2 linked regions of the Nothobranchius furzeri genome follow. The protein of the gene in region 1 interacts with the protein of each later gene in a biochemical or structural test. Links are inferred from orthologs where the notes say so. Each region holds a gene or a part of one and is shown on either strand. Other genes may lie near its edges. The genes, in order: fga and plat.

Region 1 (4,544 bases):
ATGATGAACAGTCTGCTTCTAGACCTGCAGAAATGGGACACACAACAATACAACAGGAGTAAGCTATCACTGTGTCAACTTGATGAAGAAATGTAAAAATCAACATTGTTTAACTGAACAATCACACGATAATAAATCACAGTGCATTTAGTGCCAACCACAGCCTTAAGACGTGTGTTGAACGTGCCCAAGTCCATACTTATGAGAGCACCATGTGAGCACCTGTGTGCGTACACGCGTTTGTATATGTAAGGTTTTTCTATAGGAGCGTCCAATAGAGAGTATGAGGGGCCACAGATCTTCCCCCCAAAGATACGTAGGAGATGGAGGGAGCTCCAAGTCCCAGAGATCCGGGAGCTGCCCCAGAGCACAGGAACCCCAAGGAGACCGCAACAAGAAAAGCCCCTGCCCCCCTCGAGAGGCGCAGAGGAAAGCCTCGGGTGGCCACAACCAGCAGCCGGTGGAGTTCTGGAAGATATCGGCGGCAAGCCCACAGGCCCGCCCGCAGCCTCCCACCCCGCAACCGGCCAAGCCCGGGGCCCAGGGGCGACCACCCTCACCGGGGACCCAGCAGAGCCCAGGGACCCAGACCCCACCAGGCAGCCACCGGGATTGATCAGGCAAACGCCAAAAATCTTAAACCCCCTGACCTGGGAGCCACGAACACTCAGGCAGACCAAGGCACCACACCCCACACCAGGTGTGGCAGGCAGAGGGGAGGCGAAGATCTATATCATCAAAAGAAGTCCCAGGAGAGGGGAGGAGTCAAAGGCGCCACCTGACATATGCAGTCATACACAAACACAGTCACACACTCCCTCCCTTATGCTCACACATGCACATACAACCAAAGACTTACAAAAATGCACGCCGGACACCCACTCATGCTCCCCATACACACCCTATTCACTCTGGTCCCGGTACTGCTGCACATGGGGTACAACCATTACCGGTTCCCAGAGTTTGACCCTTTCTGCTGGGGTGCTGATGAGCAGGTTCCCCCGCCCAACGCTGAGCACAGCAACCCACCACCCCAGACCCCAACCAGACGGCCAGATCTCCCTCCTCCAGCCCCAGGAAGCCAAGCTGGTTCTGGTTTCTGTGTTAAACTGTTCTAATTTCATCATAGTCCCAGAAAACACACACACGCACACACACACACACACACACACACACACACACACACACACACACACACACACACACACACACACACACACACACACACACACACACACACACACACACACACACACACATTTATAAAAGAGATCTGATCCCTGATGGGTCAGCAGGTCAGATGTTCCTGCAGCTTTACTCACCTGTGTGGGAACAGCTGACTCAGCGGTGTGTTTTGGGTTGTTTTTGTGTATTTTGTGTGTTAGTTTTGTGAGTTCAGACACACTAAGTACAACAAACAGACGGTCGGTGTGAGCAGGAGGTCGTTGCTCAACTCTGACCGGACCTGACGGAGGTTCTGAGGTCGGACGCTTGATAAGACCCGGCAGCGGGGCAGCAGGAACATTCAGAGGAAGAACCAGAGAGATGAAGATGATGAGGTTACTGGTCTGTCTGGTGTGTGTTGCTGTGACTCAGGTGAGCTCCACTTTATCCTCTAGAAAATTCATGAAATGATCTCACCTGTAAGTTTGACTGGTTTAACTGGTCAAATTCATCCTGTTTGACCAAATCTAGAACCAGATACTCTTAATGTTTATTTGTCTGTACGAGTTATTGAATGAAAATGCAGCTTTTATAAAAATAATAATAATAATAACAATAACAATAATAATAATAATAATAATAATAAATAATTAATAATAATAAAGGCTGGGCAGAAACTGGAGGATGCCATTAGTGTGAATGTAGAATAAAAGGAAATTACATTTTTCCTGATAATTTCGTAAAAAATGTTAAAATCTTTCATTTAAAGGCAGAAATTACAAGAATATAATTATATTTTTCTGGCTGACTTTAAAATTGATAGAAAAAAACGGAATTATTTACTTGAATCTGAAGGAAAAAAATGACTGAGCTGAGTAAATAAATAAGACATATGTTCTGGTTTTATTGAGAAGAAATTACAGGAAAATTTCAAAAATTCCCAAACGTTCTTCCTCTGACAACAGAACCAAATGTATTCTGAGAAGGTCGTCTTTTACTTCCCAAATATCTGGGACATTTCAGAACATTATAATGAATACATTAAAATAGTTGCTGGTGAATATTAAGTGAAGATCTGAGAGGTTTTCCTCGTTATCTCATAATATTTATCAGGTTTTGTGTTTAAACGTTTGTTTTATACTGAGAAAGTTAGAATTTAAGATGAACCAGTAGAAACCCACAAAGCCACCTGGACCTACCCAGACCGCTGGAAGAACATCGGTTTAGAGCTGCAGCTGATGCAGGAGCGTTTAAAATCATTTATATTTGCCGAGAAACGTAAAACAAGGCCTCAGACTTCTGAGATTAGAGTTAGGATTGTGACTGTTTCTCTGAATCTTCTCTAAATATCAGTTATAAGAGAGAACCATGATGTCGTCTTTGGACACAAAAACCGAAAAGCTGCATTTTTTTTATTTTATCTACATTTAAAGTAACCAGGAGCCGTGGTGGAAGGCCCACCGAGCTACTAGTAGCTCCAGAGCCGCAGATTTCAGACCCCTGAACGAGACGTGGTTCATCGGGTGAACAGGTGCGTGCTAGGGTCTTCCACTCTGGTGCTACATTAGTGTCCATTTCATCTACTACAGGTTGCGTCTCAGGTTGACCCGAGAGGAGCCCGTCCTGTGGAGCCTGCTACCCGATCAGACAAATGTTCCACCCAGAAGGAGTGGCCCTTCTGCACCGATGATGACTGGGTAATTCTGCTCTTCATCACCTCATAATCCACCCGTCAGAGCTGCTGATGCTCAGGAGAGCAGGAAGGATCACTCCAACGTTGAAACTCTTAATTCCAACTTCTCACATGACAGATTAAATGTCTTTAGTGGCACGAAGAGCCTTCCACAGATTTTAATCCCTCCTTGGTGTCTGACGCTCAAACTGTTGCTTTGTGCTCCACCAGCTCTCCAAATGCCCGTCAGGCTGCAGGATTCAGGGCTTGATGGATAAAGCGGACCATGAGCTGCTGAAGAAGATCGAGAAGATCCGCAGCCTCCTGAACCAGAACAAGGCCAAGCATCGCTCCACCGACCAGGTGTCCAAACAGACCTACGACTACCTACGGGACAGACTCACCACCGATTCTGGTCCGTTTGAGGAGAAACCTTTCATATCTGACACACTTTAAGAAGGAAAGCGAGGAGAAACAGACTCGGAGAAGGTAGGAGGGTGTTTGGTTGGAGCTGATCATGAACATGTTTGACTACAGGAAACAACAACAACTACTACGACCTGGCCCAAAGCCTCCGACAGAGGATCACCGACATGAAGATCAGGATCGACAATCAGATGAACACTCTGGCTGCCCTGAAGAATCGGGTCAAAAACCAGGTCACCGAGATGCAGAGGCTGGAGGTACGGAGAGTCTGCAGGGACAAAAACAAAGTCTTAGTCCTGAAAACGACACGAATCAGCTGTTTTTATCTGAACATAGAAAATATAAAGATTAACAAACAGAACATCAAACTATTAGCTAAATTAGGTAATTTCCTGTTACTAAAACAACAAAAACACCTATTAGACCCAAAAGATCCTCCTGCTGTTTAGAAGCAAACATCAGAGGAGTCTAACCGGAGTTTAAATTCATTCTGTAACAAATAACGTCCAATTTTCCATGAAGTTCCCACAAAGCTTTAAATGTTGTTCTGCTGCCACCAAAAACTCTAGTCTAGTTATAGATAGATTAACATCAGAGCTACCTGACTGGTGCAGGGTTATCTGAGTATTTGCTGCCCAGATTCATCTCTCCAACCTTGTCTTCTGTCAGGTTGACATCGACATTAAGCTCCGTTCCTGCAAAGGTTCCTGTGGTGGGTACAGCGAGTACCAGGTGGACAAGGAGAGCTACGTCAACCTGGATAAACAGGTAAATCAGGATAAATCGGACCTTTGTGAGGAGGAATTTCAGCCGGACTCATTCTTGGCACCCTCCCTCAGATGAGGCAGCTGGAGGCCCAGTCGGCCCAGAGCGTCGAGTCGGTCGGGACGCTGTATGTGATGAAGACCAGCTCTCTGCAGACTGCAGCTGCAGAAACCAGATTCAAATCCAAGGATGTAGGAGGTCAGAAGAAAGACGACGTCTTCTCTGAGGTGAGAAGAACTCGAGTCCAGAAGGTCTTGGGGTGAAGAAAAACACCTGAGAAGATCGGCAGCAGCCTGACAGCAAAATACAGAGATCTGCATCCTCTTTGACGTTGTGATAACACGCCTGAATGCTCCAGACCAGCAAATGCACAAGATACACATTTAATCAGTTAATCAAAAACACAAGTCCTGCAAATTAGGTCAGTGATGGTTTTGTTGCTACTAATGCTAACATCTATGGTAGCTGTTAGTTTGCTAGCTAGCATTCTCCTTCTAAAGCTAGCACCTCACAAGGC
Region 2 (4,598 bases), on another chromosome or scaffold:
GAAAAATCCAAAACTTTTCATAGTTTTGCAGTTATTCCCCAAATATTTAATTGTTTTTTTGAAGAGAGTTGGAAATTAAAAGATCAGAATCCCTCTATGGTCTGGTAAATCAGAAATTAATGCATTATCACAAGAATTAAACTGAAAAAGTCAAAGTGAAACTTTAGCTAAAGGGGATCTCACTTATCTGGTATTTAAGTATAATAAAAATGATTTTGTGCAAAGATTCCTGTTTGTCTTCCTGCTGTTGACTTTGTCATTTTGTCAAATGTGGACAACAAGGTCTTAATCTCCGATGTCACTGGCACAGATTCTAGAAACATCAATTCAATGTCTCTTTATTCTTGATTTAACAATGAGATAAAACACGTTACCAGTCAGATCTGTCAAAATCTGTTTCTGTCTCAAAATAAAACTGAAGGAAAAATAAACACAGAGACAGTTGGAACCGACACCCAGCTGATTTACAGCCCAAAGCGCTGCTCTAAATCTGTTTTTCAGCACCAGAATAAAAAAGCATGAAGCATCCCACTGAAACAGGAACGGCATGGTTCTGAGGATGAAAGGAACTGGAACTGATTTTCTGAGGAAGGGATGGAGCCCGTGGTTCTGAAAAATGAGTTCTGGTTCTGGCTGGATCCGTCCCTCAGCTTCTCAGAGACCACTCAAGAGTCCTGTTGGATTATCATTTATGTCAATCAGATGCCGCCAAAATGAGCTTTTAAACTCAAGTAAATAATAAAGAAAAAAAATATTAAAGTGCTTTACTCTCCAGCTTTAAACTTTATTAAAACCGTGTTTTGTTCTGAATAGTGCTGTTGGTGAGTATTTATGGTTTATGAAGAATAAAAATGCCCAAAGGTTGTTTTTCTTTTCTTTTCAAGGCAAACTTAAATTAGAGAAGACACGGTTTATGTCAAGTTTTATGAGATGTAATAAAATCTTTAAATGAAACTTATTTTTGCTGTTAAATTTAAATAGAAAATAAAGTTGATTATGATTCTAAATGACCTTCAGCTTTCTGTAAGTCCTCACCCGAGTCACAGGGAGGCGGGAGGACACCCTGGACAGGTCTCCTGTCCATCACGGGGACACACAGAGACAAATAACCACACACACACACACCAGGGGATCATTTAGAAAAGTTAATGAACCTAACCTGCATAATTTTGGTCTGTGGGACAAAACTAGAGAAAACCCACACAAGCAGAACATGCTAACTCGGCAGAATCTGTGTGGGAATCGAACCAGCAACCTTCTCGCTGTGAGGCACTGGTGCAACGTGTAGCCCTCTGTGTGATTCCATTTTTATTTTTTATTTTCTTTAACATTTAAAGTGTATGTTAGATTTTTTTCCACTGAAGACGGAGAATTTATTGAGATTAGCAATTTTATTTTCTTCCTCGTGTCTTTCTGAAAGATATACTGAACAGGAAAAAATCTGTTAATGAAGGGAAAAAGACAGTGGCCTTGTGAAAAATGTTAACATGATTATTATTACTTATCATTATTATTATTATAGACTAAGTTACAACTCTTACTGCTTTGAGGCAATGTTTTACAATAAAGTTTTCTAAAGAACAAGTTAAAGCGCTTCCTCCTCACGATGCTGCTGTAATGCTGAGAAAATATTTTTTAATAAATTCTCAGAAGAAAAAACTTCTGGTCTTATTTTCGATTAGGAAAATCCCCTCAGGATGAGCCCGAGTGCCTCCCAGGCCCCGCCCACAACAGCCATCATCCTCCCACGTTGACGTCACAGCTCCTCAGCCCTCCCCCTCAGGCACCGGGGGAACCGGAGAGGTCTGATAAAACCTGAACTCAAAGGAAGGACCCTGACAGAACCTGCAGGAGGACACATCTGGTAAGAAGATTATCTATCATTTACACTTCTGTCGTGCTGCTGGTCTACTTTTTTATCTGTTCAGCAACTTTCTTATTAATAAAGAAAAAAAAATTAAAACGCAGCAGAATTAATTGAGATTAGCAATCTTACTTTCTTCCTCATATCCACAAACTGCTAAGTCCTCACCAGAGTCACAGGGAGGCGGGAGGACACCCTGGACAGGTCTCCTGTCCATCACGGGGACACACAGAGACATATAAGCGCACACACACACACTTCTGTCGTGATGCTGGTCTACTTTTTTATCTGTTCATCAACTTTCTTATTAATAAAGAAAAACATTAAAACACAGCAGAATGAATGGTTTTGATAGGTGGATTCAGTTAGATAATTATTATTTTTAACATAAAGCAACATTTGAACTAAAACACCATGTTGTCTTCTATTTACTGTAATGTGTGCATTATTCAGTCCTGAGGAGGAGAAACGGGTTTTTTTTTATTTGCCTCACCTGTTCTATTAGTTTCCTGCTGCAGAGTAAATTCCTGCACCGCTGCTGACTTCACAGTCCTGAGCGCCTTTAAGGAACTTAATTAGTGGTTGGTGTGAAGCAACGCTCATGGCATTCTGTGGCTCCATCATTAGGCGTGTTAAGGGTGAGTGTGCAAAGCTGCTCACACCGGATTCATCATGTCCAGACTCTTATCAGGATCATCTGGATTAGGGACAGAAGGTCTAACGCTGACATCCTCCATGAAACTGGTACTCCATTCATGTTTGATCAGCATCTCCATCTGTGACCCTGACACTGACTCTACACCACACAAAAGCCTCCATCTGTTTCCATCCTGGGAGATGGGATGACTCAGAGTGGCTCATTTTCTTTCTGCTGACCTTTGGAATTTGATTCCCTCTCTCTTGTTTTATCCCCCATTTATCCATCCTTTCAACTCGTTTCCTGGAACTGTCTCACGCACCGTTACGACCCCAGTTTACACCCGATGTCGACTCCTTGATATTTGTGTTTCTTCCTGAAAAGGAGTTTGTGGTGCTGTTGCTCACGGGGGGGGGGGGGGGGGGGGGGGGGGGGGGGGGGGTAGGCAACAACGCGAGCTTCTGTAGAGCCCTGCAGGTTTACCCAAGCCTGACCAAAATCCCTGATGGGAAAAGGACAAATAACGCCATGACATCACCAGAAAGTGCTGGTGAATATCATCTCAAAAGGTCTAAAACTTACTTTGAAGATGACAAAATTTACTATTTGTGTTCTCTGGAGACCCGCAAATTACACATGGAAATACTATAATTATAGTTAAGAATCAAACAAAGAAAATTGGACAGGAATTCCTGTTTATGTTTCCATTTTCTCCACTAAAACCAGTGCAGCACCTCATTTATGTACCATTTTCCTGCATATTTGATGTAACTTCCTCCCTTTTCTATTAATTTCTTTGACAACATGAAGCATATTTTATAATACAGGCCTTGTAATGAGTTTGGTACACCTTGAACTTTCAGTAACTCTAATTATTTAATAGACAAAAAAAAGTTGTTTTATCATTGGCTGCAAGCTAGAACAGCTAATTTGTGTTTTTTGCTTTGCATTTGTCTTTCTGTGCGGTTGTTCCTGTGTAAAGGTCTTAGATATAATTTTAAAGGACTCAGTCATGAACCAGAAATACTGACATGATGTATTTAAATGTAAATCAACATGCTTGTTTATTCCAAAACACCAAAAATTAAAACTTCAGAAGGAGCACTGCACCAACGCTGATGCAGAAACAGGAAGAGAAACTTTAAAAAATGCTTTCAACTGCAGTTCAGACTTTTATTTTCTGACTTGTCAGCCAGGTGCGACTGTGCTGCTGCACCACTAAACCCTTCCCACTTTGGTATTTTAGTTTTGTGGCACAAATAAAAGAATGTCTCACCTTCTAAAGCTCAACACAACATCGTGATTACCCGTCTTTTCACATCACCGTCGCTGCAATGTCAAACGCTGTGGTCACCGAGGAAGAGCAGTTCCTAAAATACACAGAAATGTCACGCAACTCCTGGCATTCACTTCCAGCTGGGATATTACCGCTGTGTGTGTGCGTGTGTGTGTGTGTGTGTGTGTGTGTGTGTGTGTGTGTGTGTGTGTGTTTGCCTTGCAGTGAATTGCACTTGTTTGCTGAACGTAAGTGCCTCATCTTCAAACCTGCTATTATGACTCACAGTATGGCCTCTAAATTACCAAACTTGTTTTGGATCCATCCGGTCATATGTGACCCACTTACAGGCCGAAACACACGAGTTTCAGCTGTTCACAGATCAGTGTCACACCCATGGACGTAATTTTCACTTTAGAAGTGGGGGGGGGGGGGACACACCGGGGGGGGGGGGGGGGATCTTTACAGTATGCTCTAAATTGAAACAGGCTTCAACACAAATGGTTGTTTTCCGCTTGGTCCTAGAGCTCAACCAGTGTCAATTTAATAAAGCGTAATATTGTTTTTGGATGGTAAAAAGTGCAGGGGTCAAAACTTGATTTTGGAAAAAGTGCCACCCCCCCCCCCCCCACCCCACCCCAAAATTACGTCCATGGTCACAACCAGGGGCGGTTCTAGGCCAAATTTTCCAGGGGGGCCACAGTGGGGCCAGTATTTTTTCATGGGGGCGCAAGAAAAAAAAGGGAAAAATTAGTGCAATATCAAAATTCTTTTTTGTCGTCGCCATATGACAAATTTTGTGCTTGTGCACAATTTTGCCA

Evidence for each region.
Region 2: the proteins of fga (region 1) and plat form a complex in vitro, tested with the Homo sapiens proteins (2 studies listed by BioGRID). The link is inferred for Nothobranchius furzeri from reciprocal best matches to the Homo sapiens genes FGA and PLAT.

Annotation. Positions count from the first base shown.
Region 1 is NC_091742.1:90,960,830-90,965,373, reverse strand, and holds the start of fga (fibrinogen alpha chain), read left to right. Parts: upstream 1-1,439; 5' UTR 1,440-1,545; coding exon 1,546-1,596; intron 1,597-2,753; coding exon 2,754-2,861; intron 2,862-3,067; coding exon 3,068-3,251; intron 3,252-3,373; coding exon 3,374-3,519; intron 3,520-3,931; coding exon 3,932-4,030; intron 4,031-4,101; coding exon 4,102-4,254; intron 4,255-4,544. UniProt on the Homo sapiens protein: Cleaved by the protease thrombin to yield monomers which, together with fibrinogen beta (FGB) and fibrinogen gamma (FGG), polymerize to form an insoluble fibrin matrix. Fibrin has a major function in hemostasis as one of the primary components of blood clots.
Region 2 is NC_091757.1:55,676,386-55,680,983, forward strand, and holds the start of plat (tissue-type plasminogen activator), read left to right. Parts: upstream 1-1,764; 5' UTR 1,765-1,864; intron 1,865-4,598. UniProt on the Homo sapiens protein: Converts the abundant, but inactive, zymogen plasminogen to plasmin by hydrolyzing a single Arg-Val bond in plasminogen.